2 linked regions of the Ovis aries genome follow. The protein of the gene in region 1 purifies or fractionates together with the protein of each later gene. This does not show direct contact. Links are inferred from orthologs where the notes say so. Each region holds a gene or a part of one and is shown in the gene's direction. Other genes may lie near its edges.

What was found.
Region 2: the proteins of PTCD3 (region 1) and YBX1 purify together in Homo sapiens (co-immunoprecipitation; 4 studies listed by BioGRID and IntAct, with this or other methods). This does not show direct contact. The link is inferred for Ovis aries from reciprocal best matches to the Homo sapiens genes PTCD3 and YBX1.

The regions. Positions count from the first base shown.
Region 1 is NC_056056.1:58,029,761-58,046,017, forward strand, and holds part of PTCD3 (small ribosomal subunit protein mS39), read left to right. Parts: intron 1-2,334; coding exon 2,335-2,403; intron 2,404-2,878; coding exon 2,879-2,983; intron 2,984-4,420; coding exon 4,421-4,544; intron 4,545-6,324; coding exon 6,325-6,440; intron 6,441-6,927; coding exon 6,928-6,998; intron 6,999-8,285; coding exon 8,286-8,373; intron 8,374-8,827; coding exon 8,828-8,888; intron 8,889-9,365; coding exon 9,366-9,451; intron 9,452-10,536; coding exon 10,537-10,681; intron 10,682-11,347; coding exon 11,348-11,398; intron 11,399-13,356; coding exon 13,357-13,446; intron 13,447-13,738; coding exon 13,739-13,767; intron 13,768-14,611; coding exon 14,612-14,718; intron 14,719-15,774; coding exon 15,775-15,853; intron 15,854-15,973; coding exon 15,974-16,064; intron 16,065-16,257. UniProt on the Homo sapiens protein: Mitochondrial RNA-binding protein that has a role in mitochondrial translation.
Region 2 is NC_056054.1:17,194,961-17,210,321, forward strand, and holds the end of YBX1 (Y-box-binding protein 1), read left to right. Parts: intron 1-37; coding exon 38-71; intron 72-2,786; coding exon 2,787-2,876; intron 2,877-3,173; coding exon 3,174-3,476; intron 3,477-3,589; coding exon 3,590-3,672; intron 3,673-6,965; coding exon 6,966-7,200; 3' UTR 7,201-7,231; intron 7,232-8,065; 3' UTR 8,066-8,451; downstream 8,452-15,361. UniProt on the Homo sapiens protein: DNA- and RNA-binding protein involved in various processes, such as translational repression, RNA stabilization, mRNA splicing, DNA repair and transcription regulation.

The DNA.
Region 1 (16,257 bases):
GTGAGATTAACCCAAGGGGTATTTAAGTCAAAGAAGTTGTAGAATTATGTACACACTTGTCTGATTTGGTCCTGGGCTCTTAAAATCCCGGGGACAATTATTCATTCATTCAGGAACCACACATTCCAACCCTTAATGGTGCTTACCAGGTCATCCAAGCCCACATCATCTCTTACTATGTTGGATTAATTACAGCAGTCTCTGTTCTCTTGACTTCCTCAACCCAGTAAGCAGCCATAGCGACCCTGCTAAAACGTTGACTCACATCACTCTTCTACTCAGAACTCAAATGGCTTCTGATTTGTTATAAATGAAACAAAAACTGAAACTGCTCCAAGGGCGCCTGAGGCCCTACCTGATCACCCCCATCCCCACCCTAGCTCTGACCACATTTCCTGCCATCTTTCTTGTACCCTGCTCTAACCAGGCAGCCTCCTAGCTAGTTCTCAGTTTCTTATCAGGCACAGGTCTGCCTCGAGGCTTTAATGCTTTCTATTTGTTCTGCCTAGTTTATTTTTCCCTGAGATAGCCACATAATTTCTGCCTTTATCTCTTTAAGTCTTTTCCTTGAGATCTTCCCAGACCACACCATATAAAATTGTATGTTTATTTTCTGTGACAGCTTGTCCTCCCTCCCTTCCTTTTCCACAGCAGTTACCGCCTTTAAATTTACTATATGTTTTATTTGCTTTGTTTTCTGGAGATTTTATTCCCCACTAGATTTTGAGTTCTGTGGAGGATAGGATTTTGTTGTCTCCCTGGCACATATGAGGTGCTCAGTAAATATTCAGTGAGTGAATAAGGCAGTCACTGAACTAAGCAGCGGTGGCTGGGGAAAGGGACAGTGGAGTAGGTAGAAGATTTAAGGAACTGGAGTCAGCCACAACTGATGACAGCTTAGTTGAATGGAAGTAGCGGGAGAGGATCTTTAATTTGGGTTGCAGAGTGCTTGGTACCCTTCACTGAAATGGAGACGATAAGAGGGGAGGTCAGAGAAGAACAGGTGGAGGTAGATTTGGTGTGAGGCATCTGGGCTACAGGACCAGAGTTGAGGAGTTTCTCAGAAACCATTAAGGTCTTGGAAATCACTGAGGGAGGAAAATGTGGGAAACAAATAAGAATAAAGTCTAGTGAGAGAGGTCCAGCATGTGACCCAAAACTAGAGGCCCAAACAGGTATTTGATAAAGATGGTGGACAGGACAGAGCCAGGCAGCGGTTGGGAATCATGGAGTAGATGGTCCAAGGAGGCCGTCCTAGAACTGCTTCCTCTGAGTTGTCCTTCATACCCGTCACGTCGTAGCAGAGAGTGGATGCATGCGTGCTGAGTGGTTTCAGTTGTGTCCAGCTCTGATCCCACAGACTGTAGCTCGCCAGGCTCCTCTGTCCATAGAATTTCCCAGGCAAGAATACTGCCATACCCTCCTCCAGGGGATCTTCTCAACCCAAGGATCAAACTCATGTCTCTTACTCCTGCATTGGCAGGCAGGTTCTTTACCACTTTCGCCACCTGTGAAACCCAGAGATCACCTGTGAACCAGATGAAATGAGCCTCAGAGGAAGGTAAAGGGAATACAGGATTTGAAAGTGGTATCAGGAACTGAGAGCCCTAAAAAGTACTGCTTCCAGGCCCTAGGTCAGGGCATCCTTCTATTAAGAACCACAGGGAAGCTCTCCCCCAGAGAGTCCAGGTGAATACTTCAGGGTGGCAAGGGGACTGTCAGAAGAGATTCAGGAAGTAGGTTGAGTTTTTTCTGTGAAACAAAGTTGCCAGAAGGTACAGAGAAGGGGGCTGTGAAGGAGAGGGGAGGAATAGAGGAAGTAATTTGAGGGCCATTCTAAGAGAGACTGCTGGTGCCAAAGAGTTAATCTTGTTCAGGGTTCTACCTGAAACAACTTAAAGAAGTTTGGAACCTTGGGAAACAGGACACTGGAGACGCTGCTGCTGTTCCCACTTCCTGAGAGGGCCGCATATAAATGTTATCCTCCATTTGAAGGAGCCTCTTGGGTGGTTAGTGCCATGCGTTGAAGGGATACCCTAGTTCAGGAAACTGGTGCCCAGGCTGGTTAATTCAGAGGCTCTTGACTTTGCATTTAAAACGGTGATATCCCTGCTGATAGCAGCCCCTAGTTAAAACCAGTCATGGAGATTTAAGCCATTGTTTGCTTTAAATTGTGCATAACTATAACCAAGTCTCACAGAGCCTAGGGTACAGCGTAGGTGTTAGTGTCTACCAACATACATATTTCTGCATTTGTGATACATGCAGTTAAAACTTCCACACGGTCCTCTTAATAAAAGCCTAGCTAAAGAGACTTGTGTGTCTTCTCCACAGGATACCACAGCTGTACCTTACGCATTTCAGGATGATCCTTACCTCATCCCGACATCCTCTGTGGAATCTGTGAGTATTTTTAGGTAACTTGGCAAGTGTTATGTTTTACCTTGTTGGTTTGGGTGACAGGATGACACATATGACTTATTTTACTTGTAGACACCTTTGAAAAGTTCATAGAGGCTAATAGATAAGTTGGTAGATTTTCTGATTCCTTTACTACTTTTATCAAAAAGTTTTAGAGATTGGCTATGGAGAAGGTATTTGGTTTGGATTTTTAGTACTTTGAAATCTTTCCCACTCTAGAGCAATTCACTCAGTTTAAAGGTATTGTTTTTACACACCTCAAGCTGTATGTAGGATCCAACCTGAAATCATGTCACATTCAGCGGAATAATAATAATAATTAGGTAGTTTAACTTGGAATTCTGTGTATTACAGTGTTGTTTGGTTGGGGCGGGGGAGGGCAGAATAATTCTTGCTGAGGGTATAACTTTGATCTAAATTATATGTAGTATCAATTTACGTCTTTTTCTTTATACAGCATTCATTTTTGTTGGCAAAGAAGTCCGGAGAGAATGCAGCAAAATTTATTATTAATTCATATCCCAAATATTTTCTGAAAGACATAGCTGAGCCTCATATACCGGTAAGGAGAGGTAATTGCAGTTTTCGGATAATACTATGTAAATATAAACTAAGCTGTCACAACTAACGTTTCAGTAGCCATTTGAATGTCTACAGTATTTGGGTCTAATATTATTTCACCCAGATAATATTTACGTCTTTTAATATTTATGGTTATCATTGCTCACTGTACTCACCTTTATTATCATTTTTAAAACTACATGTATTTGCTCTTCATTTTGTTTTCTTCATTTGACTTCTGCAACACCAGGCTCTCAGATCTTTACTTCTGACTGCCCTTTCTGGTTCCCTTAGTTGATTTTCCATCCGCTCCTCAAACCTTGGTGTCTTTTTCTCAGGATTCCGTACTTGGTCACTCTCTTTTTTTTCTCACTGTAATCTTCCTGCTTCACCAACCCTTATACTCCATTTGGCATTCTTGTATGTTGGCCTCAGTGTCTCTACTTTGGACTCCAGACACTTTTTTTCCAGCCCCCTCTGTTCTGTGGGCTTGAGGGGTGAGTGTGGAGGGCCTGCTGGGTGTTTGGCATTGCACTTAGTGGGTCCCACAGTGCTCAGCTGAACATGGGCTCTGCCTCTGAGCTAAGTAGTGGAAATAGTAACTCAGACTCATTGTGTCTAAAACCGCTTCCTCTCATATCTCCCTACTTTGTAAGCGCACACACCCAGCCACCCAGACACCCCTTGTGCTTCTCAAACAGCAAATCTTAGGGACAAATTAGGACGTCAGAGTGATTGTGTCCATAAAGGTTGAAATCCTGAACGAAGACAGTGACAGCAGTGGAGTGACCATTTGTAGGGCCTGCTCTCTCCCCTCTATGTTTCTGACCAATAGTTACTCTTCTGTGTGTAGTTCACTTCTGCTTGAAGCCTTCCCTGGGTCCCTAAGTATTTGAATAATTTGGTGAGTGAGGTAAAATCAACATACCTTGGTAATACTGAATGTTTACAGTAAAAGAAGTTATCAGGGAGGGAAGGTTTCCGTCTTTACAAACTAGATATACTGTGGAACCTTCGGCCAAGATTGAGAGGAAAGTAGGAAGGGTGGTTTTAGCAAGGGAAAAATAGTAAGTTCAGCTTGAAATTAGGGGATTTAGTTCACTGGGAACTAAATTCACTGGGAAAAGTGGAGACTTTTAATTCGTTAGGCTGTAGTTCTTCGATATGGGATTCTTCAAATACAGACTAAATATTTATAATTAGGAGCTTTTAAATTCTTTGCCCCAACTTAGGAGATCTCTAAGTAATCTTGTTTTGGTGACTAGAGAGGTAGAGTTAGATTCCTTAAAGAGACATTCATGTTAAAATGATAGGTGGTATCTAATGCATGAAGCATGAATATTATGGTGTGTTAATCAAATACTGTGGTGTGTTGTCTTACTCTGTTGTGCTTTCCCATTGACCTGTTGGCACTGACTTTAACCATCTTATTTTCTAGTGTTTAATGCCTGAGTACTTTGAACCTCAGATTGAAGAAATAAGTGAGGCTGCTCTGCAGGAACGAATCAAGCTCAAAAAAGTCAAAGCTTCTGTGGACATATTTGATCAGCTTTTGCAAGCAGGTGACTAAGTTCATTTGAAGCCCCCAGGTTCATGTGAAGCTCCCCTGGGAATGTGGGCGTGGAAGTAGGCCACAGTTGTGCACGTGATCTAGACAGTTGTGAGTACGAGTTAAAAGTGCTATGCTTCTTCCTCTGCTTGGTAGCTGTTTTTATATTTTTTATAGTTTAGGAAGTCATATTTCAAGTTCTGCTTTAGTGTCATTTTAAAACTGGGTAGGATAGAGTTGTCCTTGCCCGTGTGTTGTCCTCTTGTGCAGGTAGAGAAATCTTACAGCCATTCTTTCTTAGCTTCTGTTTTTAACATGAGGTTTGTTCATACTGTATTCACATTTCTTACATTCTTTAAGTACGTGTGAGAGGCAAAAAACAGACTAGAAAGAAATACTTAAAAAGGAAAGCGCACTAAGCTGCAGGATCAGACGCTTGGGTAGGTTCTGGCACTGATTAGTGCTGTAGCCTTGAAAAGCTCAATTCCTTTAATCCTTCTGTCTCTCAAATCCTGTGGCTATCTGAATTTGATGTGGATGAACCTCTAGGGGTTTAGGTGGCAGGGCTTGTAAGCTACCATGAGATGAGAATATACCTAGAGTAGCATGAAGGCAGCAGCATTGCTTAAGTTTTGGAATCTGGTATGCTGGTCAGTGGTTTAGGATAAAAATCAGCCAAACATTCAGTCCAGAGAGAGAAACTGGACTGAATCACTCAGTATAGTCTTGAATATGGCAAGAAACATTTTCAGAAAACTTAAAGAATTTTGGTGTGTAGCCTGTTAAAGCATCAGGTGTACAAATGAATTGCTGATGCAGATTGTCATTTAGGGAGGCTTTTTCCTCTGCTTGTTGAATATGATAAACATCATTATATTAAGACTTGTCTTCCTCTGTCTTACACACTGTGTGGTGTAGATGCAAGCAGCTGTTCAGTGAACCTTAGTAAAGACAGGGTCAGAGCTGTAACACTCAGCTCATTCAGAGTAATGGAATGAGTCGACATACTAGGAGAGGAAATATAGAAAATTTCAATATCAAGGCCTAATAAGTGCCAAGCACTTTGTAGGCATTTAATTCTGTAACACCTTATGAGTTGGTGTGCTTGTAGTCGTTTATAAAGGAAACTGACTGACTTCAAGTAATCTTCAGGGTCACAGCTTTGAGATGCTATGAGGCAGTCAGGTTACACACCATCACCTGTTTCCCCTCCACTCTGTCTTTTGTCTTTTCTAAAGGCTTTTAAGTTTCCTGATAGCCATTTGTATTATCAGTATATTTTCTTAAGAAAAATTCAGCTACTTTTCTTTTTAAAGCACTAAATTCATACTGCTTCCTGTTCCCTTTTCTCCCTCTTGATAAGTGTCAAGTTGGGAACATAATGTTTGAAACAGTAATTTTTTAAAGGCTGCTATCTCTAGGCATGTATTTCAGCGAGGGCCTGGATCTAAGCGAAACAGTCCGATTGCGTTTGTGAAGACAGAACTGGGCCCTGGGGGACTACGTGGCAATCATTTCCAGAGCGTTCATTTCGAAGGTGATAGGTAGAACTATGAGAGGGTTTCTCTGGGAATATGAGTACATAGAATAAATGAGCCCAGGGTCAAACTTGGCTCTGGTATTTTATCTCTTCTGTCAGACAGCACTGTTAGGGATTCTGTGTTATCTGCATCACTCCAGATGTTTAAGCTGATGTGGGGTGCAACTCGCCCTTGGAGAATGGAATCCAATAGGCTTTAGTTCTTTGATGTTTGAAAGATTCTCCCCCTCACCCTTTTTTTCACCACCCACAGGAACCACTGTATCTCTGGAAACAACTAACAGTCTCTTGGATTTGTTGTGTTACTATGGAAACCAAGAACCCTCCACTAATTATAATTTCCAACAACAGGAACAATCAGAAGAGTTGGTAATGATTTTTTAAAGTTTCTTTTGGTAGTAATTCTTTCTCATTTTAAGGTGATTTCTTACGCCTTATGTTAGAGATTTGTGCTGAGGTGTGATATAGCACAGTATGTAGCCTGGACAAAAGTTGATGTGGAGGAAGAGATGGATTTTAACAATTGTTTTACCCTGGTTCCCTCCTTAAAAGTATTTTGACCTTGCCTGCCACATGCAGAAACCAGTGACCAGAAATGTTTGGATGGGCCCCTTTGTTGTTGTTTCTCAAAGTGACAATATGTTGTATATGGGACAGAAGGGAACACCCCTGGCCCCAGCCCTCTTGAAAATTCATGCATATATAGGCAGGGTCTCCTTTTTACCTTCTACCAAATCTTTATTTCCTTTGCTTTTCTGAAATTTCCTCTGCCTTACCGGTTCTGAGTAGTATAGCTTGGAGAATGCTTTCCGTTGTCGTATTCTGTTTTATATCTGTTGGTGATGGCTCATTTCAGGAAGAGGGCGAAGAGGGGGATAACGTGAAGTCTAAGAAGAAGGCTGGTCACCAGCTTGGAGTTACTTGGAGGTATGTTACAGGATAATTAGAACGTTTATGGATCCTTACGGTTGTGGAATGTTCTCCGTCACCCCCTGAAGAAGACACAACCCTGTAGTGTTCTAAAATGCAGTTTGTTCTCTGTGTGCAACGTAAATGTCACCGTTGGTTTTCATGTGTTTGGGCCATTTTTTATTAGATCTTTACTTCCAACCAGCTAGAGGTACAGGACTGGTGTTGGTTTCTTTTTTTTCCTCCCCCGCCTAACTCCATGTAACCGTCATGGTATGGTTCTTTTGGTAGTTTCATTAGTAGTCCTACCTTGCACTATATGCCTCTAACTCTAAAAAGGTTCAGAATTTTAAAAACTATGTTAGAATACACATATGTCAGAGCGTAGTTCTAAATTAAGACGGCTGGCTAACAAACAGAAGTATTCAGTACCGAACAAAAGATAAATATCATTTATGTAATGATTCAGGATTCAAATGAACTGAGTAAAACTGTCTAAAAGAAAGGTATTTCGTAAGGGTGTCTGGAAAAGGAAAGCTACTGTTAATATCAAAATGAGTGAATAGAAAAATTAAACTTCTTCAGTAGATACTAATAATTTCTTATAGTGGTTGAGAACAGGGACTTGTGAGTACCATTTTGGCCCAAATGTAGGCTCTATTTTCCAAGATGTGTTGGAAACAGAAAATGAAGGTGCAGCGTGATTTGTATAACATAGCACGTTGACTGACTGACTGAAAGAGCCAGATTATATAAGCTAGAATAGGACAATGGATTCTAGGGCACCACATGTCTGCGGTTGCCTCTGATTATTTATATCCAGTTGAAAGAGGGTGGAGGAACTTCACTGTGTACCCTGCTGTGCAGTTTGCTTTTTATTTATAATGCTGAGTATATATTCGGAGAAGGCAATGGCACCCCGCTCCAGCACACTTGCCTGGAAAATCCCATGGATGGAGGAGCCTGGTGGGCTGTAGTCCATGGGATCGCTAAGAGTCAGACACGACTGAGCAACTTCACTTTCATGCATTGGAGAAGGAAATGGCAACCCACTCCTGTGTTCTTGCCTGGAGAATCCTAGGGACAGGGGAGCCTGGTGGGCTGCTGTCTGTGGGGTCACACAGAGTCAGACATGACTGAAGCGACTTAGCAGCAGCAGCAGCAGCAACCAGATCTCCCTCTCTGGGTGGGAAGAATTACTTGAAATTATATGCAGAAAATGCTTGGAACGTTGCAAATACTCCATGTGGTAGCTGTTACTGGTTTTATCTGTTTCCACTGGTTCACGTTTACTCTTGTGTCTAGAGCCAAAAACCATGCTGAGAGAATCTTTGCTCTGATGCCTGAGAAAAATGCACATTCTTACTGCACAATGATTCGAGGAATGGTGAAGGTAACATTTGTTCTGGATAGTTGTATGTTTTTGTCTTTAATTTCTACTGAATCGGGGTTTCTCAGCCGCAGAACCCTTCACAGCTGGGCCACATAGTTTGTTGTCGTTGGGGGTTTCCAGAGCCTTGAAGAATGTTTGAGAACTGCCTCTACCCACTTGATGCAGTAATTCATCCTCCCATCCCCCAGTTGTGAAAATATAATTCTCATAGTTGTTTTTTCATTAAAATAAGATACACTTATTGAAAAAAAATTATTAGGAAAAAGTTTTTAAAAATTGAAATCACTGCATTGAAGTAACAGGAATAGAAACTGTATTATACCACACTGCTCATTTAAAAGGAAAAACACTGTCCATTCTGGTCTATCCTTTTACTTCTAAGAACAGTAGATATGCAAATATTTATTAAAGACAACTTTTATGGTGTTTAATTTTCATCCTTTCCCTCTTCCAGCACCGAGCTCATACACAGGCATTAAGCTTGTACACGGAACTGTTAAACAACAGACTGCGTGGTGAGTTGTGTCTGGAGAATTCATCTCTGTCCTTCCTTTCCTTCTCATATGTGGGCGTGTGTGCGTGCTCAGTCATGTCCTAGCTCTGCATGCCATGGACTGTACCTTGCCAAGCTCCTCTGTCCATGGAATTTCCCAGGCAAGAATACTGAAATTGGCTGCCATTTCCATCTCCAGGGGGTCTTCCCCTCCCAGGGACTGAACCCGAGTCTCCTGCATTGGCTGGTGGACTCCCTACCTCTGCATCACCTCTGCATTCTTACCTGTGTATCATTGTATCAGGAGTGTATACAATCGCAGGATTTTGCCTTAATGATTCGCTCATTCTTAATCTTTTCCTCTGATGTTGGTGATTGAAACGAGAATCCAGAGCCAGAGAAAAGAGTGGTTTTCTAGTTTTGTGGACTCATGTGCATGACCACTTGGCCTTTAATCACTGACCCCAAATTTTGTTAAAGTAGTTTTCTTCTTTTATAGCTGATGTGCACACCTTCAATTCATTAATTGAAGCAACAGCATTGGTGGCGAATGCGAAATTTGAAGAAAAGTGGAAGAATATATTGGTAAGGAGGAACCCTCACTTTGGCTACTAATAGGCCAAAATATCCTTTGCTGGGAGTCCTGAAATGCAGGAGACACTAGTTCATTCCCTGGGTTGGGAAGATCTCCTGGAGAAGGAAATGGCAACCCACTCGAGTATTCTTGCCTGGGAAATGCTAGGAATAGGGGAGTCTGGTGGGCTACAGTCCATGGGGTTGCAAGAGTTGTACATGACTCACCTACTACACCACCACCAACCGCCATCCTTTGCTCGGAGTGCATGGGGTGGAGAGAGCATTCACTGAGCTTCTTTGTGGTGGTCATCTTTGCACTGGGCACTCCACTTGCAGTGGCCTGTTCATACCCTTCTAGCAACCCTTAGTTTAATTAGCTGTATCTGACATGTGACCCAAGCATACAGCTAGAATCCAGGAAGATCAGTTTGCTATATTATATTCATTTATTTCCTTATAATAGTGTGGGGTTTTTTTTATATTAAAACATTTATTGAAAAAAATTACTCGGAAAGTTTTTAAAAATTGAAATCACAGGAACAAAGTAACAGGAATGGAAACCACACTATACCATTCATTGTTGTCCAGTCACCCAGTTGTGTCCAACTCGTTGCGGCCTCAGGTACTGTAGCCCGCCAGGCTCCTCTGCCCATGGGATTCTTCAGGGCAGAATACTACAGTGGGTTGCCGTTTCCTTCTCCAGGGGATCTTCCCGACCTAGGGATCGAACCCGCGTGTCCTACATTGGCAGCTGGGTTCCTTAGCACTGAGCCACCAGGGACGTGCATACCATACCATACTGCTCATGTGAAAAGGGAAAAACCAGTCTGTTCTAGTCTCTACTTTTGCTTCAGTCTTAGACTCTTTAGGCCACTAGAGACAGTTGGACACGGACATCACATGGGGGTTAGAGTGACTGTTGAAAGGGCCTTCTCTCAGGGGCACTAGATAATTCTTAAATGGGGGGCTTATTTATTAATCTGCTTTAAACATAGGCAGACAGCCCAATTCTTTTAGTGTGTTCTGTTAGTTTATTGGACAAATTACCCACCGGGCATTAAAAAAAATAATACTCCTGCTTTTGATTCAACTAGGACCTGCTGAAACAAATGGTTGCACAGAACGTGAAGCCCAATCTACAGACTTTTAACACTATCCTCAAATGTCTCCGAAGATTTTATGCATTTGGAAAATTGCCAGCCTTACAGACCTTCCGGGAAATGAAAGCCATCGGGATAGGTGAGGGGTGTCCTCATGTCCCCACTGGAGGCAGTGCTGACCTGAGGCTTCAGGTCCAGGTGATCCAAAAAGAGACTAAACTTTTCTGTGCTGTTTACATAATATGGTAGGAATTTCCTTTCCACCATTAAGCACACTTTTCAGTGATGTATATTTAGTATAATGGGAGCTCTTCTTTATCATCTTTTTGCTGCTTATAGTAAATTACACTCTTGGGATTTTAGATACTTTTTAATGGATTTCTTGATTCTAGGGAGAATTGTTCACTTACAGTTGGCTGGTTTTAAAATCTCGTGACATTTTCTGGCATAATTAAGTATTTGAACCCAATTGTGTGCTAGTATGTTGTATATTTTTCAGTATTTATGTTATTGAATCAGTTCACTTCTATCTTTTAGTGTTCTTAAATGAAACTCACAAGAGTATTGACTGTAATGTTTTAGTGATAGGTGTCTGGACTTTCTAAGAGGAATGTGATCTCTATGACACCTTTCCACCTTTACATTAATCACATCAGCTGGGAAATGTCTTTGTTCAGAGGAACGGAATGCATCTTCTACTTACATAACACCACTAATGTTTTTATTCACAGTAAGCTATATTTTGTATAGCTGTGTTTGACATTTCTTTTTTTTTTTCTTTTTTCTATGTACCTGGTAACATAAGAACCCTCGCTTGCAACATATCATCATATTATTCAGCTGTTTTATCAACATGGTATGTATGTATGTCATTATGTTATTTATGTAGAGATTAGGCTAACTTCACTGCTAATGAATAAAGATTGGATAGTTCACAGAATAGCGTTGTCTATAGCCTGAGCAAAAAGTTACTCGTGCGGGTACTGTCATCTTTTTGTGATGTAAAACTTAAGTCGGAGTGGAGGAAGGTCATTAAATGTACTAACGGGTAGTATATGGTTTTGGCCAGAAGGTACTTGAGTTTGGAATTCCTTTTGCCCTCTAGAACTGTGCTGTCCGATACAGTAGCTACTTAGCCACACGTGGCTATTTAATTAAATTCCTTCATAGCATTAGTGCTCAGTAGCCACCTGTGACTGCTGACTGCATCGTCAGTGATACAATTATAGAACATTTCCGTCTTTGCAGGAAGCTGTTGGATAGTCCTGCTCCACAGTAAACATTATTTTGAAGCCTCATGGGAGAACTTCAAGGCTCCATTTGTTACCTAATTTTAGGTCAGCTGTGCTCTATTGAATGGATTTTGGAGCAAGGCACACCTGAGTTGAAATTTCATCTCTACCATTTACCAGATGTGTGGGAAGGGACTGGATGTCTTACCCAAGTGATGCCATCACGATGTAATGATGAAATGAATTATGTGTAGTGTCCCGTTCATGTTTGGGAGGCATGTAGTAAGTACTGTAGGTTCTTAGCCATTTGCCCCAACCTGCGAAACAACCCTAGGTATAGAAATGACAGTTCCAGTCTTTCTCTCCTGCAGTGGGCTTTTTGTGTGAAAACAACAGAAAATCTTTATTTTGGAAGGGTAGTTTTGCAAAATTCACATTCTCACACATAGGGAAGTAGGAGCTGTTAAATGACTTTATCTTGAAAACAGGTGAACTGTTTCCACAGTAATTTTGTCATCTAAAATTTTACTAAACTTTGGTGGTATTGTACTGCTACTACTAAGTCACTTCAGTCGTGTCCGACTCTGTGTGACCCCATAGACGGCAGCCCACCAGCCTCCCTCGTCCCTGGGATTCTCCAGGCAAGAACACTGGGGTGGGTTGCCATTTCCTTCTCCAATGCGTGAAAGTGAAGTCACTCAGTCGTGTCCGACTCTTAGCGACCCCATGGACTGCAGCCTACCAGGCTCCTCCGCCCATGGGATTTTCCAGGCAAGAGTAGGTATTGTACTAAAACTAAGTAATTCTCACCCTAAAGCCTATTCCACTACTACATCACACATCACCTTGGCTAACTAAAGTCACTGGTGCTTGTGTTTCCTAAGTAACACCCAGGGTCATAGGGGCAGGAGTGTCAGTGTGTCTTAGGGATATAAATCGATAATTGTCTGTAATAATAGTTGCTAGGAATTTACCCAAAGGAAAAAGCCTAAAATAATGAAGAGATGATACATATAAAATAGGCTATTAGGAAATAGAATAATTAGAACAGTAACAAGTGCAAACATCCTTGAGGAACTAGAAGTACATCTGTGCTGTCACTGAAACTATATTATCACTTGCAGGTGCATAGGTGGGGAAGGGAATATAGATAAATAATGTGAAATGTTCAACTGGAAATGTCACAGATACATTTTGATTCTATAGTTTTCTGTTTCTTGGCTCTCATCCTGGTTATATTTAAAAGGAGCACAAATTTTTATTAGCAAAAAACATGTTTGTTTTCTAAGTAGGCAGGCTTGGTGAGGGTGTCCGTCTGTCTCCCATTTCAGTGCAAGTCCGCCTTGTGAGGAGACTAAGAAGGAGGGGCTGCGTCTGTTGGGAGCGCTGTAACTGACCCAGGCCTTGGGGAGAGCTGCACTCAGCAGAGGGTGCTCTCATTCCTCTCACAGGGATATGCTTGGCCAGCTCCATGGCTTGGGTGGAGGAATGAGAAAGGCAGCCTTAGGACTAGTTCTGCCTACCCCATGGAAGTGCGGGAAGTAGGCTCCTGAGAAAACCCAGTTGCCTTCTTTTTCTGCAGAAAGCCCTTCAAAAGGATCATCCCTCATCATCTATGATATCATGGATGAAATAACGGGAAAGAAGTTTTCTCCAAAGGACCCCGATGACGGTACGTGCAGAAATTGCTGCCGTAAGACAGCCAGCCTCTTTTCCTGACTGGGGTTATAGAGCCTTGTGATGAGGATGGGGTTTGATTTAGTTTAGCCATCTTTGGGTGGTTATTCTGAGAAAGCAGAGTGTCAGTGGCTTGTGCTGTATGTTGCTTCTCCTTGTGTTTTCATTCTTTTAGGTTTGTCCTACACCTTACCAGTTTTGTTGCCAGGATTTTTAATTAATGTTACTGACCTGAAAACATACTTTATGCATAGTAACCAAGGCTCTTCTGAACTTTGATTTTTCAGATATGTTTTTTCAGTCAGCCATGAGGGTTGTAAGTACCATTTCTTGCTTAAAACTTCTTTTTTCTTTTATCCATTTCCTAAATTCATCATTGGTGGTTGGGAGGACTCTCCCTGATTCGTTCACTTCCTAACTCTTGTGTTCATGTCATTAGTCCTAATTTTTTATTCCTCTAAAATCTCTACAAAATCACAGCATTCCTACCCTGTGTGGATTGTGTTTGTTGTCTTTTTTTATACCTTTCTTCAGATAAGGTTTCAGAGTATTTCATATTTGCCTGTTGTTAACTTATTAGAGTGATGGTTATATCTAGTTTTGTTTTTTCAGCTTATCGTGCTAATCGTAGGAAACATTTTCAAGCAGTTTCAGAATGAATTTAGCAGCCTTATTTCCTGAGGATAATTGCTTTGCTACTTAGTGTGTGTCTTTCTAGGTTCTCTCCTCTGGGTGTTCAGACATGCATGTCCACACTCATTTCCGTGGTGTCTTGTTTGTTGTTGGCAATATAGTGTTTCATAGAAGGGAATGACTTGTTGTTGGGTGGGTTTTGGAGTTATTTCATGGGGATTTTTGCCAGTATAGTGATGCTAGAGATAGCACTCCATCTGTCTTAAGCATGACATCCCAAGTGTTTTTGTCTAATACTACATATAGGTGTAATCACTAGATTAACATCATTTTGTTTTAAATTTCACTGAACTTGGTGATTTTATCCCTACCCCCAATTTCTTATAATTCACTTGCTGTCAGTCAGTAAAATGTTAAATCAGTATACGTGTTTCCCCAGGTATCTACTTTCTTGCTTCATGTAGGGAGCCACCTTTGGCTGATAAGGATCACTGAGTGATGGTTATTTACTACTTCTACATTTTCAGTGCTCTTCTCTCAGAGATCTAGAACTTGCTTACCAGGTCCATGGCCTTTTAAACACTGGAGACAACCGGAAATTCATTGGCCCCGATCATCGGCGTAATTTTTATTAGTAAGTATATTGGAAATATATCCTTCGCATTAACGGAACACCTGTATGCAACTAGTGGTCAGTTCTGCAGGTGGGAGACTTGGCAGTCTTATTTTAGGCAGCATGATCCTGACTTTAACGATACCAGTTACGTGAACACTTGGAAGGTTCAGTGGTAAAACTGATTTGTCAAACTGAGGTGTCCACTGTGTATCTTTTAAGCTATTTGTAACTTTAAATCTGTGTATCTTTTCCTTCTGCTGTTCTGTGCTTATTCTCTATCCTGTCAGACTTTTTGCGACCCCATGGAGCCCACAGGGCTCCTCTACCCATGAGGATTCTCTAGGCCAAATACTGGAATGGGTTGCCATGCCCTCCTCCAGGGGAATCTTTGCAACCCAGGGATTGAACCCAGGTCTCCCGCATTGCAGGCGGATTCTTTACCCTCTGAGCCACCAGGGAATCCCAAGAATACCAGAGTAGGTAACCTAACCCTTTTCAAGGGGTTCTTCCCAATCCAGGAGTCGAAATGGGATTTCCTGGATTGCAGGCGGATTCTTTACCAGCTGAGCTACCCAGGATGCCACACTGTCCTATTTTATATTTTCAAATTCATAGCAGGGTGAATCCCTGAAGATTTCATCTTAGCCTCTCTTGTTTTTAAAGATGTTGGAGCCCAAAGAGACTCCTTACATGGGTTTGCTTTTAGGCAGATAAAAACAAGAATGTAAGAAGGCAGCCTGTTCATAGGTGCGTGGTGGTTCCCTTCCATGTGTCCAGATCCTCTCTTCACATTGAACACTTGTTGAGTAGTATCCTCACTCCTCTCCACCACGAGCTGAGAGTGTATGGCGTTGGCATCAGTGACCAGTTGAAGATAAGTGTCAAACTGGAAAGTCCAGAAAGCACAGTTAGCAGCACCTCCTCGGTCACGCATTGAGCTCTGTCACTTGAAATTGTAACATAAATTGTCTTTAAGTTCTGTGTAATATGTCATTATATGACTGTGCTGTAATGTAATCATTCCCCTACTAGGCAGGGATTTTAGACTAAACCTGTTTTCTTTCTCCGTCACAGTTCCAAGTTCTTTAGTTTGCTTTGTCTGATGGAACAAATTGATGTCACCTTGAAGTGGTATAAGGACCTGATACCTTCAGTAAGTGATTCATGACTTAACATTTGTAGATGTTTGTGTGTGTCTTAACATCATTGTAGATGTTTGTGTGTGTCTTTGCTGAGTAATACTTAAAAATGTATTTGTATTTTTCTTAACCAGGTCTTCTTTCCCCATTCCCAAACATTAATAGATCTTCTCCAAGCATTAGACGTAGCCAATCGACTAGAAATGATTCCTCAGATCTGGAAAGGTCAGTTTCAGTCTGTGTGTCCCGACCCATCTTACTCTGTTGTCTTACGTTTTGATTCACAAGCGTGTTAATGTGGTTAGGGAAGAAAGCTTCCATTTTTTCACTAAATTAAACTCTGTAGTTGAGGTCTCCTTCAGGGTGACTTGCTTGTGTTTCATGTTGGATTGCATGAGTAACAGTGGGGTGGAAAGGA
Region 2 (15,361 bases), on another chromosome or scaffold:
AGTTTTCTGACTTGTTCTACTTGGTTTTGTCTTGTAGGAATGACACCAAGGAAGATGTATTTGTACACCAGGTGAGTGCTCCTGTGGCTATTTACACTTCTGGCTCAACACTTGTGAGAAGAAAAGGGTGTATGTCTTCTGAACTATTGTTCCTTGTAAAAAAGTTTTAGTAAGTCAACTTACCAAACAGTTTAGTTCCCACAGGAAGAGGGGTAGTACAGCTTAAATGTGTACATTAAAACATTGTGTTGGCAGTTCACTTAATTAAAATAGGCCTTTCGTGTTGATATTTTGTTTTGTTAATAGCTGTAGCTTTTTTAAATGTTGAATTCACTTGATTCCTTACACTAAATTTTCAAACCTAATTTCAGATAAACTGAAAACCTCCATTAATCTAAATTCGAACCATACTGTTGCTGTCCATAACACCCTCAAATGCTGTTAGAATTACCTCTGACAGATGACAGTAGTGATGGGGGAAATAGGCCAAAGCTGCAAAATACATTGATTTGAGACAAATGTTGAAAAACTGGACATTGTAGCATAGATCCTTCTGTTTATTCTAAAGTACTTTGAATGGGTAAGATATGTTTTTATGTTTGGAGAATTTTTACCAGCTTGGCAAATTTAGAAATCCTTGCTAGTTGAAGGTTAAGTGAAAGGGTGGTATGGCAAGGTTGGTAATTGCTTATTGAATAGTTTTTAGATTAGCCTCAGTGTTTGAGAGGGAAAAACTGCCAGGATAGGTGCTGCATGCCAAGCTCTCGTCCACAAGCACTATTTAAGGGGAGTGTTCGGGGCAACTGTAAACGTTAAGAAGTTTATTGTTTAAGCCGCTGCCAAGTGAACACTGATAATTCAACCTTAAGTATATCATAGGCTTCATTGGACTTAATTTTCTCCATAGGAATGCAACGGGCAATGGGTAGGAAAAATGTTTAGGAATGCATACTTCTATGAATTCTGCCGGGGGGAGTGGATTTGTTTTGTTTTGTTTTTTTACTGAGACTATTGAAATATTATTGACTTGTATTGAAAATCGCTCTTTGAGAACTTTTTAACCACTATACTGTGATTTAGACATCAAAAGACAGAGTCAGTCTCCACACTCGTGCCTTTATTCAGGCAGGTGTGAGCTTGGCTGGCAGCATACTTCCTTGGAAAGACTGCCTTAAGTTGGTGTTGTGTAGCTCTTTGCATTGACCTGTAGACCACTCAGTGACAATTGAGAGGGAGTCCAGATCAATTTCTAGGTACATCCAAAACCCTGTTCAGTAATCACAGGGTCAAGCATTAAGTATGGAAACATTTAAATTCTAAACAAATAAAAGACTGCTCAGGCAAAATATTGTATTAAAACAAATGTTTGTTTTATAAAATTGAATACCAATACTTAATCTGTTTCTTCCTTCCTTCTGCATATTCGAAGGAATTTGCAGACTTGGGTACAAGAGACAGACAGCAAGGCTTGCCAGTCTTGCTGCCTTTGGGCAACAGTGAAGGGTCTGGGAATGTGCAGGAGAGAATTGATACTGACCAAAACAAGAGTTTGGGGTTTTAATTAACCAATATTTCTGCTATCCCCTATGACTGCAGATAATTGAGAGTTACATGAAAGGTATGGAAACTTTGTGACAGTTTAGATGACAGATGAGATCGATTATTTGGCTGAACACATGTCACCCACTTGTACCAACCCACAAGTTGTCACCAACATGCTTTCCTCTTTATTTTGGAGGTGGTTTCAACATTTAGTTGTTTCTTAGGACTTTGGCTGCTCAGGTCTTGGTGGTATTACAAGGAGACTGCAGTTCTGGGCAACTTTAGCTTAATTGGCTTCAGATTTGTTGGTTGTCCTGCCTCCTCTGGAATGGAAATGCATGGGTGATCCCGTAATGGATACCGCTGTGATATAGTAGAATGAACATGGGATTTGGAGTCCCGAGACCTGGATTTAGAAAAGTCCATACTCTGTCACTTACTTTGTGACCTTGGGCGAGTCACCTGACTTTTAAAGCCTGTTTTATTACCCTAAAAGAGGAATGAATAATGATGCCTCACATCTTCATAATGCGATTGAGTGGGTAATGCATGAAAGTACTTCATGGAAGTATTAAATGTGAGATGTTATTCTTCCCCTTTAGTTTTATTATACAAGTCTAGAGAATGAGTAACAATGAGAGATTTAATGTATTCTGGGGAGGTAATAACCCACAGAATATTAAAAAGTGTCATAGTTAATTCATGGGAATTGCATTTCCATCGAAGTATTCCCACAATCAGGTTGGAAGGGATTTTGGTTGACATTTGTAACAGAGTTTGATATGGTAACACAGGGACAAAGTTGGTTTGGTCAACTTTGAAGCATGCAAAACTAAACTCGCCTGTCATCTAAACTGGCCCTGTGTGGGGCTCGCTTCTACTATTAAGTGCAGTCTTTGGGGATAGGTGGATATCCTCATTTTGTTCAAAGCTACATATAATGCTTTTGCAAAAAGCATTTTAAAATATATGTTTATAGTTGTGTTTGTCTTGCGTGTTAAATTACTTGCTTTAGTTTGGAAAATAGTGATAAAATGCTGGGGCCTTGTAAGATTGGAGTATTTTGGTTGAGGTTGGGGGTAGCACTGGTCCTTGTTTTCCTAAATTTATTGATGGTTTGGTCTTATTTAAAGCTAATTTTACTTGTATATCCAAGTTAAAATAATATTGACTCTGGTACATTTTAAATGAAAAAGCACATTATTCTCCCCTGTTAATCTATTTTTGGAATGTGATATTACTAGACTGCCATAAAGAAGAATAACCCCAGGAAGTACCTTCGCAGTGTAGGAGATGGAGAGACTGTGGAGTTTGATGTTGTTGAAGGAGAAAAGGTGAGGATGCTTTTTGTGTAAAGGTTTGACTTCAGTATGGAAATATTTTGGAGATCTCATCCATTAGGATGGTGGCTCTAAGGTGGATGGATGGGTCAGGTGACCACTTGAACACAGGTGCACCAACCCTAATGTGCTGGCTGCAGATAGAGGGCTACCTCTTCAGAACAGTGAGGAGCTAGTGTTAAATCATTTCTCTGCACCCCTGGCCACAGAGACCCTTTTGTACTTTTTGTGTGCGTTTTGCTGCGTGTCCTTAATTCCATTGTCACTATGACTATATGATGGCTTTTGTAGGGTGCGGAGGCAGCGAATGTTACAGGCCCTGGTGGAGTTCCAGTGCAAGGCAGTAAATACGCAGCAGACCGTAACCATTATAGACGCTATCCACGTCGCAGGGGTCCTCCACGCAATTACCAGCAGAATTACCAGAATAGTGAGAGTGGGGAAAAGAATGAGGGATCGGAGAGCGCTCCCGAAGGCCAGGCCCAACAGCGCCGGCCCTACCGCAGGCGGAGGTTCCCACCTTACTACATGCGGAGACCCTACGGGCGTCGACCACAGTACTCCAACCCTCCTGTGCAGGGAGAAGTGATGGAGGTAAACGGATTTTATTTCCTTCTAACTGCTGCTGTATTCAGACTTTTGTCTGGTTGGGGTTTGCGCTAATGTAAATGGAGTAAAATTTGGCTTGGTCTCCATTGCCTTTTCAGGGTGCTGACAACCAAGGTGCCGGAGAACAAGGCAGACCAGTGAGACAGAACCTGTATCGGGGCTACAGACCACGATTCCGCAGGTGCGGCTTGCGTTTAGAGTTGACTGGAGCGCGTGCTACGACTCGGCAACAGCATGCTGCTTCTGCAGGCTTTTTCAGTCATTTGTCTGTTAACACTTCACATTTTCTTTCATCAGATGCCTAAGAGGTGAACCTGAAGTCAGTTATCTTTGAGAATGTGTTCTTTGCATCTTTGCTGGCACTGGTTAAAAACAGCTTTATAGATGTGGTCTACTTTTTGCAGTTGGTTTTGTTTTTGTTTTACTCTAATGAGGGTATGGAATTTCCCATTTCTGTCCTTTAACAGGTAAGAGAATGGTAGTTTAAACTGCATTGTATTATAACTTTAAGACCTGATTCATTGGGAGGGAGAAAAGTAAAGGTAAGCGTACCTTTTTAACAGAAGGTGTTTAATTATTAGAGGAATTAGGGTAGAGCTTCACAGGCCAGATAGGTTTAATGCATATATGTAGTAAAAGGTCTTAGAATATTGAGTCTCCAGATGTGATCCCTAAAACTAACAGGTAGCATCTGTCTAAACCTAGACACAGATACCTTGTTGAAATACTGCAAACAATCACAATGTCAGCTCTTAAATAGTGATAAGTGTTTATCTGTGATAGTGATAAACGGTCTAAAATAGGCTTTCATACTCTGTCCCTTTAAATCCCGAGGGCAGTATCCTTGGTCTACTTCTTGTTACGTTGTAGAACTTTGCCAATTTTCTACCTATTTTCATTGGTGTGTTTAAAAACAGCACATGAATTTTTGTTGAGTGCTTCAGTTTTATTTAATGGTCTCATTTGAATATATTTATTATAATCTATCGATGAATGCAGGGCTTTCCAAACTATTTAGTCAGGAATTTTTTGTTTGAATAGTAAATGACACATGCTACTTATAATCCAGGGGGTGAAATGATTGATGCAGATCCAAGAGCAGATTGTGAGAAATCTGAGATCAGTATAGCAGGAGTTTTGCTGAAAGGAAGATAGATGAGGTGGCAGTAAAGGGAAAGGAATCATTAAGAAAGGATTTTTTTTGTTTGAGAAATAAGAGCTTATTTGTAGGCTGAAAAATGCAATTTTTAAAAAAGGGTACTTGTCAGAATTATCTGCTGCAGCTATCTTCAGTTAGGATTGGGTTTGGTCCATGCAATGGGATGTCTTTTGCTGGGAACCGTGGATGTTGCATGTGTAAAAAGCCAGAGTTTATGGGCACCAGTGTGTTGGTGAAGTCAAAAGGAAAGGGGTGAGAGGTTTGGGACAAATATGTGAAATTATCTGTAGAAGAGAAATAGCGGAAGTCAAGTAACAGTGATCACAAATTTAAAGTGGGTCCACCAAACATGCTTGTGCTTTTCCAGCCATTTTGAGCAGCAGCCTCAGATTAAGCAGAGTTAGATTTGTTCAGCATTTGTCTACTCAAAGATCCTGGGTTTGGGTTTGATGATAGTCATTAGTGGTAGACCTTGCACTTCCGAGAGAAATGAGAGAAGAGGATTAAGGCAGAGTTAAGGGACAGAATGATCGATAGGATTGTTGGATTATAGGTCCTAGTGGAAATAAGAGTGGGAGAAGAAGACTCCTGGAATACACCAGGAAAAGAAGTAAAGGGTGACTAGAGAGTGGAGTGCTTGAAACTGAGAGAAGCTAAGTAGCAAACAGGAGTTGCATGGGAGGCAAAGTGGCCGCCTCGTGCGAAGAGCTGACAAGTTGGAAAAGACCCTGATGCTGGGAGGGACTGGGGGCAGGAGGAGAAGGGGACAACGGAGGATGAGATGGCTGGATGGCATCACCAACTCGATGGATGTGAGTCTGAGTGAACTCCGGGAGATGGTGATGGACAGGGAGGCCTGGCGTGCTGCGATTCATGGGATCGCAGAGAGCTGGACACGACTGAACGACTGAACTGAACTGAAAGAATCTAAAAGCCCATGTTATGTGGAACTGTCGTGATAATTACAGTAGGAAAAGGGCAGTAAAATGGAACATGACGTTAAGATTTGAAAGGTGGGATTTTAGAATTCAAAAGGCTACAGGGGAGGGCCAGGGCAGTTTTGCCGAAGACTGGTCAGGAGTTCCCAGACACATGGGAAAACCGTTTCAGGAGAAGAGGTGGTGGGGGCTGTGGGGGGCGGGGGAAGTTGGGAGGGGTAGGTGGAAGACTAGAGGGGTTAGCGGTGAGAAATGGAATCGTAAATAGTTAGAGCTGGAATGACCTACACAGGTGTAAAGGCATGCTGGTAATCCTGGTGTTTAAAGTGTGAGACTCAGTGGATTTTAGTATATTCACACCAGCCCCTGGCTGCTGCTTTCCTTGTCTCTGTATTTGCCTAGTTTGTGTCTGGCTTTCACCTCGTGTATTTGTCATTCATGCCTTTATCATTAGTACTTGATTTCTTTTTATGACCAAATCAGGTTCCGTTGTATGGATATTACATTTTGTTCTTCGTTAACTTGGTTGATGGGCATTTGGGTTATTTTCACATCTTGTTGTGAATGTTAAAATAATGCGTGGTGGATATTGTTTTGGATACAGATCTAGAAGTAGAACTGCTAGGTCATTTAGTCTCCAAGCTGTTCTACAAAGCTGCTGCACCATTCTATATAGCCAGACCAGCCAGCAATGCATTGAGGGGTTTTTCCACCCCCTCCCCAGTGTGATTGTTTTCAGCTCTCCTGGTGTGTATGAAGTGGTTTTGATCTGCCTTTCCCAAACTAATGGTTGCTGTGTACTTTGATTTATATGAAGATAATACCTTTTCTCTGGTTTTGATTTCTGCTTTTTTTAAAAAAAACAAATGTTCATCTATAAAGTTTAGCACTTGTTTCCAAACCTGGTTAGTTTAATACCCATGTTTTTAAATAGCATTAGGGTATTGATGGTATTGTACAGCTTTAGTCCTTTCATGGCTAACTTTGGAATAGGTTATACTATGGGTATTTTGAATAATATGAGTGTGTTGTTCAGTCACTAAGTCATGTCCAAGTCTTTGTGGCCTCATGGACTGCAGCACTCCAGGCTCCCCAACCTTCACTCAACTATCTATGAATATATTGGGTATATATATGGATATATTGGGTAATATGAGACTGTTAAAATCAGTTTTAAACGGTCATCTTAGTTTACACTTCCAAATCCTTTTACCAAGTCGTCATACTCAATTTGTGAAGTAAAAACCAAGTTTACTCTTTCAGTTTTGATAAATTGCCTGCATACCACTTGATAAACAGAAAGAGCAGATGTGTTGACCTGGTGACTTGATTAAAGAAAGGTTTTATCATTGCAAGCTTCCACAATGTTCATTCCAGGGGCCCTCCTCGCCAAAGACAGCCCAGAGAGGACGGCAATGAAGAAGATAAGGAAAACCAAGGAGATGAGACCCAAGGTCAGCAGCCACCTCAACGTCGGTACCGCCGCAACTTCAATTACCGACGCAGACGCCCAGAAAACCCTAAACCACAAGATGGCAAAGAGACAAAAGCAGCCGATCCACCAGCTGAGAATTCGTCCGCTCCCGAGGCTGAGCAGGGCGGGGCTGAGTAAATGCCGGCTTACCATCTCTACCATCATCCGGGTAAGTAAGCCTCGATGGCCCTCTGGGCAGTCATGAGTGATGTCCATTAATGAAAGAGAGGAAAACCCAGTTCATCAGGTAAGGTAAGCCACTCAAACTTACAGTGTCTTCTACCCAAACTAATCTTAAGATGACTTGAATGTCATTTTGTTAATGGATTGTATATCAGAGCCATACTTTGGCCTAGCTTTGCATTGTATCTTTTGTATTAGGGCTTTTTTGTCAACTTTCTTGGATGATTTTAATGTAAGCTGGAGAAGGAAATGGCAACCCACTCCAGTATTCTTACCTGGAAAATTCTGTGGACAGAGGAGCTTGGTGGGCTGTAGTCCATGGGGGTTGTTAAGAGTCGGACATGACTGAGAACACACACAAACACCAGTAAGCTGAGGAAAGTCTTGCTGACTACAAGTAATTACGTTATGAGATTCTTCATTTTCAAAAATAAGTGGGATGGCTACTCAGATTAAAAACGTAGGTGATGATGACCAGGATGGTCTGTTTACGTGGTGGCTTTGGCATTACATCATCAATTCTAAAATTAAGAGGATTCCCTTTTTACTTGATTCTAGGAGACATGTATTTGTCTCTGTTTGACTCTAGAATTATCATTTTCAGCCAGTGAGACTTTTTCCCCCTATTTTGAGTGTCAAAAGGTCATTCAGAACCTATGAGTAACCATTCTTATTATATAGTAATGCCCACTCCTGTTATGAACTGCTGTGTAAAGGTAAACCAGTATGAGATGTGTTCCCTGCCTAGCTAATTTGATATACTGAAAGATTGCAGTGAACTATAGAAGGTAATTAGAAAACTTCTTTTTCTCTCTTACAGTTTAGTCATCCAACAAGAAGAAATGAATATGAAATTCCAGCAATAAGAAATGAACAAAAGATTGGAGCTGAAGACCTTAAGTGCTTGCTTTTTGCCTGTTGACCAGATAACTAGAACTATCTGCATTATCTATGCAGCATGGGGTTTTTATTATTTTTACCTAAAGACGTCTCTTTTTGGTAATGACAAACGTGTTTTTTAAAAAAAAAAAAAAAAGCCTGTTTTTTCTCAATACACCTTTAAAGGTTTTTAAATTGTTTCATATCTGGTCAAGTTGAGATTTTTAAGAACCTCATTTTTAATTTGTAATAAAAGTTTACAGCTTGATTTTTTCAAAAAAAAAGTCAACAAACTGCAAGCACCTGTTAATAAAGGTCTTAAATAATTGTCTTTGTTGTATATTTCTGCCTTGCTTTTTTAGTTTACAAGTACTTAGCTGGTTATTAACTTAAATCTCTGCAGATAGGTGATACTTAGTGGTATTTACTCAAGGAAATGCTCTTAAAATGTGTAATCATTTGTTGAGTAGCATACCTGTACTGAAAATTAGAATTTGCTACGATAATCTGGCCATTTTCCATTCAGTGAGTTCCTTTTACTGGGAGGCAGTGGTAAAGAGAGGGCATGTTCTAGTGGAGACTAACAGAACTGTGAGTTACTTCAGCCTGCAGATTGAAGGACACCCACCTTAGTTAGCAGATGTCTGCCGCAGAGACTGCTGTACTCAGTAAACACAGCTCAGCTCCTTTACTTGGGTACTAGAGATGGTAACCACAAATGATGGAATGCTTGTGGGAAGGCTGCTTAAAGAATATAGAGGTCAGTGACATTCATTTTGTCCTCAGCACCCTTGTAACATAAGCGTGTTCCATATTTTATAGTGTCTTACTTTCCTTTATGGAATAATTTGATGACTGCTATCCAGAGACATTCTGGACCGTTCTGGCCAGTTTTGGAGACCTTGGGGATATACAGTTGGCTAGAGAGGCATATCTGGAAGTCATGCAGTGCCGTGTGCCTGTTCAGAAGGGGCTTGGCATTCACAGAGCTGAGAGTTGATTTGCAGTGGTAGTTTTGGTTCAGGGCACTGGTGAATAAATTGGGAAAAAATAGGCAGGTAGCTGGGCTAGTATCAGTTAACACCTTGAAATGCCTTTTCTCAGTTTGGGACCAACTCTTTGGATGGTATGGACAATTGAGCACTGCTCATGGTATGTAAAATGTAGTGTGTTTTTTTTAACAGTTGCATGCATTAGGATATATGTTGTGGGAAATGATTTCAACATTGCTTATATAATCCAATAATGTAAGAATGTGATTTTGAAAACCATGGCAAGGAAGAAAGCTTTTTGTGATGTAGCCTTGCTGCCAGTGTTGCAGACAGAACATTGTTTTTCTCTTGTGTATTTTTCTCATGTCACCCAGCACCTCATGCTGAGTTCACTATGTATGAGGACTAGACAGCCTAGAGGGGGCGGTGGCCGCAGTCCTCTGCTGCAGCGACTTCCTCTGACAGCTCTGCCCTAGCTGCTTACCCTTGAGTCAGGCTTTCCCGCTGTAAGTTTGAATACCTCATGTTCCTGAAGAGCTGTGTAGCTGGAGCACAGGAAGATGGTAAGGAACTGAGTGCCAATTCAGTCAAATCAAGTTTGTTGTCTGTTATTATTCCTTTAAAATTCATTTAGGATGCTTTTGGTTTCTGTTGAAGCTCGTACTGGGTGGCCTAGGCAGTCAGGTAATACTTAAGGAATAGGTGATAGTGGTAACAAACCAGAAGAGCTTGTAGTCAAGAATGGATACTCAGTAAAGAGCGAAAATTTATTTCATATAAGAAATACAGTAGTATCAAAGAAATGCATGCAGAACTAAGTAGTAGCATTTTCCAAAAATCTGGGAGGAAGCAAAACTATTGAAAGATGTTAAAGCGAAATGAAGATTTACATGTTCATGGATACTAAGAATGATGTCAATCCATCTATACAAATTCTTTTTTTTTTTTTAATGGCATTTTTGGGTTTTAGAAAAGATGAGAGATGGGAGGTTAGAGGAGAGAAAAGGATGTAAAATAGTTGTCTTGGAGAATAGGAAAATAAGTATACCAAGAAAGTAGAACTGCCAGCAGGTAGAGGGTTGGGTTTCACCCGAGCTTGGCCAGCTGAATCCAGCAGAAGGGAAAAAAGAGTAAAGGTACAGAAAGCAAATGCAGAGGCTTCCCTGGTGGCTCAGTGGTAAAGAATCTGCCTGCCAGTGCAGGAAGTGGGTTCGTTCCCTGGTCTGGGAGGATCCCACGTGCTGCAGGGCAGCTGCAGCTCGCATGCTGAAATGCCTGGTGCCTGAACACTGGAGCCTGTGCTCTGTAACAGGATGAGCCAGCGCAGTGAGACGCCCATGCACTCAGCACAGCTAGAGAAAAGCCAGCACAGCAACAAAGACCCAGCACCGCCAAATAAGGCTTAAGTGAGTGCCAAGGTAAAGCTGATGCTGTTGTCCTCAGCGTCCACTTCCCGGGTCCCCAGATCTAGGAGGTGTATCCTTATTAGTGAAAGCCGATGAGAGCACATAGCTTGCTTTGGTGATTGAAATGAGTCTGTGAGCTGACACGGTTCCAAAGTGATCTGGTGGAGTAAAAGTACTAGTTAAGGAAGCTGGAAGAATGAGATGCTGGCCTTAAACCAACAAGCGTGGAGACCTGGGGCACTGGTAGTGACAGTTCAGGTTAAGATCACGTGTGTAGAAGACCAAACCGGAGGTAAAGGGGTCAAAAATAGACCATGGTGTTCAAAAGGATCTTGAGTGTTGAAATTCCCTCAGTGTTGATAGAAGTAGGTGTGGTGAAGGCCCTGGAATGTCAGGGAGTGCTGCTGGATCTTGAGCTTAGCTTGAAGGCATGGGCTTCAAGGAAGTTTGAATTTAAAAGTGGCAATGGTGTAATCGAATTAGCCCACCATCAGGCACCACAGTACTTTGGGTTTAGAAAAAGAAAGCCACTACTGAAAGCTCAAAAGAGTGTCCTCAGCACAAGTCTGCGGAGAGGTAGGCTAAGAACATTCAAAAAAGCAGCTAGTGGCTAAATCCACAGGACAGGGCAGGGCACAGTGGGGGTTTGAGAAGCGATACTGAGTCAGTAGAGGAGAGCTGATAGAAATTAAGGTAGTGGCACTGAATGGGAATTGAGCATCTGGCAGAGGTAAACAGGCAAGTATAGTTCATGACAGGCTCATTACTGAGGTTCTATAGTTTCACCAAGGCTGGTAAGGCTGCTTTTTGGCTGAGGAAGGAGCATTCGTTAGGAATTCTGCCACTCCCTGCTCTGAATGGTGCCTCAGATATTGGAGAGCCTGCTTAGATCCCTTCAGTCTGGCTGGCTGGCTTTTAAAAGTTATAAATGATAAAAAGTCAACCTGCATAAATACCTATCCAAGTGATGTTTAGCACCTCTTACTGGCTTGGGGCAGCCAGCTGTACAGCCCTTCTGTCTGGGTGATAAGGGGTCTGAATGATGTTTGTATATTATCTTTTTGGCTGGCTGTAGCTTGTGGGATCTCAGTTCCCTGAGCAAGGATCAAGCTTGAGCCCTCAGCAGTGAAAATGTGGAGTCCTAACCACTGGACTGCCAAGGAATTCGGATGAATGACTTTTAAATAGGATAGTTACCATTTTAAGTTACTCTGGGACAGAAAAATGGGACGTTGTAGAAGCCCAGATAAGATGAGACCATAGATAAGGTAGTAGGAAAAGGTCAAATTTGAGATGTTCTCAGAAGTTGCCGGTTTGAGGGGACTAGCTGACTGTGGAACGAGGAAGAGGGAAGAATCTGGCGATTGTAGAATGGTGAAGAAGATAGAGCTACTTGCTAGAACAGGGGCTGCACAAACGGGAGGGCTCTGTTTGCTTGCAATGTCTGGGGAATCCATAGGGAAGGTGTGGGAAGCAGATGTGAAGCTAAGGAGTGGGGTGTTGACCACCCATCAGGTGGCTTTTGAAAGCTGTGACTGGAGAATAGAGTGGAGCCCCAAAGATGTGAGGAATCTAGGAAGGGGAGCATCACGGAATCATGGAGAACCAAGAAGTGGTTCAGTGGGCATCAAAACCAAACAGTCCAAGAAGGGGGAGGCTGAAAAGTGTCCCTTGGGCTCAGCAGCAAGGAGACAAAGGGGGAGAGCAGGCTTGTGGAAGTGTGAGGGTGTCCCCAGACTGAGCAGGTGAGTGGTGACAAGGGCTGCTGCATGCTCAACCTTCCGCATCTCAGTAACAGTCCATCTATAGGGGTTCCAGCCAAAATCCTCAAGTCTCCTGACTTCTCACTTAAAACACTCCACATCCAACGAGTCTGCAGATCCTCTTGGTTCTGCCTTTGATATACCCAGCATCGGACCGCTTCTCACCACCTCTGTCCACAGGGGTCCAAGCCTCTTGTCTCTCACTTGGATCGTTGTATGTGCTAGGTGAGCTCCCTGCTACCAAATTTCCTGCCCCACCTGTCTCCAGCCATTTCTCTTAAAAACTGTGTCAGACTCTGGGTCACTTCTCTGCTCAAAACCATTTAGAAGCTTCCAGTCTCACTTTTCAACAAAAGTCAACACCCTACAGGAGTCTTCACAGTGGGCCCCACTCACATTTACTGCTTTCCCCCTGGTTTACAGCAGCCTCACAGTTCTCTTCCTGGAATGTGCCAGCATATTCCAACTCAAGACTTTTACTTTACTTCTTGACAGGAAGACTGTTTCCTCCAGGAACCAAATGGCTTTCTTCCTCTGTTATTTCAGGGAAAGATTAGGAAGGCTTTCCCTGACCACTTTTTAAAATAGCAGCCCGTCTGTGCCTACATCTGACCTCCCTGCCCTGCTTGACTTTTCTCCATAGTGCACATATATCATCATAGGCTAATCAATAGTGCATATTCTTTTTGCCAGAAAGTAGAGGGCAGAGATACTTGTTTGTGTTTTGTGTTTGCTTTTTCTGATATATTCGAAGATCTACAAGGGTACAGAGTAAAAGCTCAGTAACTTATTACGCTGGGAAGAAGTGGGATGACGGAAGTGAGAGCTGCCGCTGGAAGGGCAAGATAAGCTGGTAATGTTAGACTGATTTATGTGTTAGCCAAATAGGTGCTCTTGAGAGTGACAGGGATTGCCAATCACACTGGGATGAAAAGACTGCCCAGGAGTCCTGGTCACTCCAGAGATACCAAATTTGAAGGAAGAGTTTGTTTAGGATGAGGAGACATTTATGTGGGGTTGGGGGAGAAGGGGCCAAACAAGAAGAGCTTTGTGATTCTGTGGTGCAACCAAATGCCTTGTTTACCCTATGCATAAAATTCAGTCTTCATAGATCATTTTGAGACACCAGGATGAAAAGGTGATTTGCAGTCAGAAAACCTGAGTTCCAGTCCCACCAATGAAAGTAGAGGGTAAATAGTACCTACTTCCCAAGTTTCTTACGAAGATTAACTAAGAAGAATACCTTATGTTTTGTTGTTCAGCTGCTAGTGAAGTTGCTCAGTCGTGTCCAACTCTGAGACCCAATGGACTAACCTACCAGACTCCTCCGTCCATGGGATTTTCCAGGCAAGAATGCTGGAGTGGGTTGCCATTTTCTTCTCCAGGAGATCTTCCCCACCCAGGGATTGAACCCGGGTCTCCCACATTGTAGGCAGATGCTTTATTGTCTGAGCCACCAGGGAAGTCCTGTTCAGCTGCTAAGTCATGCCCTATTCTTTGCAACCCCATGGACTTCAGCATGCCAGGCTCCTCTGTCCACCACCTCCGAGGGTTTGGTCAAATTCATGTCCATTGAGTCAGTGATGCTATCTGACCATCTCACCCTGCCCACCCCCCTTCTCTTTTTGCCTCCAGTCTGCCAGCCTCAGGATCTTTTCCAGTGAGTTGGCTTTTGTCACCAGGTGGCCAAAGTATTGGAGCATCAGTTAGTGCTCAGTAGGCTGTTACTATAGTAATTTTAAGTATCGACTTGGATAGGAGCTCTGAACACTGTAAACTGAAATTGTGGTGGCCATGAGTATGACTTGCAAATCTGTAGCTGACCCAAGATGCTTTGCTCTGAAATCTGCCACCATGTTTGCCCTGAGGCTGTGCTTTGTAAGTGCTCCCAAGCCAATCAATGAGTAAGCTCAGCAGAGTTTCTAAAACAGTCCTGTTCCTGGAAGATACTGAACTCCTCTGACAGCTAACTGTCAGACTATACATGTTAGTACCATGCAGAATACCATGTTAGACTCCATGGTATTCTGTGATTCTTCAACCCAGTATTCCTTCACTTAGGCTTGATGAGCCCCCTACCCATTTTTTAAAGGTGTTTCCATAGTAAACGTCTTGCATTTTAATCCTGTTGTGGGGAGGGTGGGGGTCTACTGCTTGGAGAACCCAGACTAACATAAGCACCATAGGAAAGTAAGGAGGTGAGGAAGGATTCTGGGAAGATGACCGAGGATGAAGCACCGGGAATCTGTCCCCGTAATCTCAACAAGTACACTGATAAAATTGGTCTGATGTAACTTTTGAAGGCTTGCAACCTCCAGGGAAGACATACGGTAAACTGAGATTAATTGGGGATTTTGGTTCTTCATTCACCAGTGACTACCCAGCTCAGCCCTAAGGCATGCAATTGTTCTGGAGCTCCTTGCACACACCTTGCAGCAGCCAAAGGGAGCAATAAAGACCCTGTCCCTAAATACTGAGATTGTGTTCTGATTGTAGTCAATCGGCTGTTTCTCATCAAAGAGGTGCAAACACAGATAGCAGTCGTTGTTGGACCTACCCTCATTGTTGCAAGCCTCTCCCCTCCAGCTGAAGGGACTTTCAGAGGAGCCTGACTATATTCTCTAGTCGACCTCCACACCCCCATCCTGTGAAGTGAAGTGAAGTCACTCAGTCGTGTCCTACTCTGTGACCCCCATGGACTGTAGCCCACCAGGCTCCTCCCTCCATGGGATTCTCCAGGCAAGAGTACTGGAGTGGGTTACCATTTCCTTCTCCAGGGGATCTTCCTGACCCAGGGATCGAACCCGAGTCTCCTGCATTCCAGGCAGACACTTTAACCTCTGAGCCACCCTAGTTGCTGGCAACTGAAATAAAGCAAAATTTCCACCAAAAAACAACAACAAACTAGGCAAAATACATAATTTTTTAAGCTTTAAGAGATTGAAATACAAACTACTAGGCTAGGTCCAGGAGAGGATGAAAGTGTAGAAAAGTAAGTGATTTTCAGGGCTTCCTTTCCCCTGGATGTGTTTGAAAATCTAGGCGAGAGAGCAGAGCCTGGGTGCTTATCTGGAAG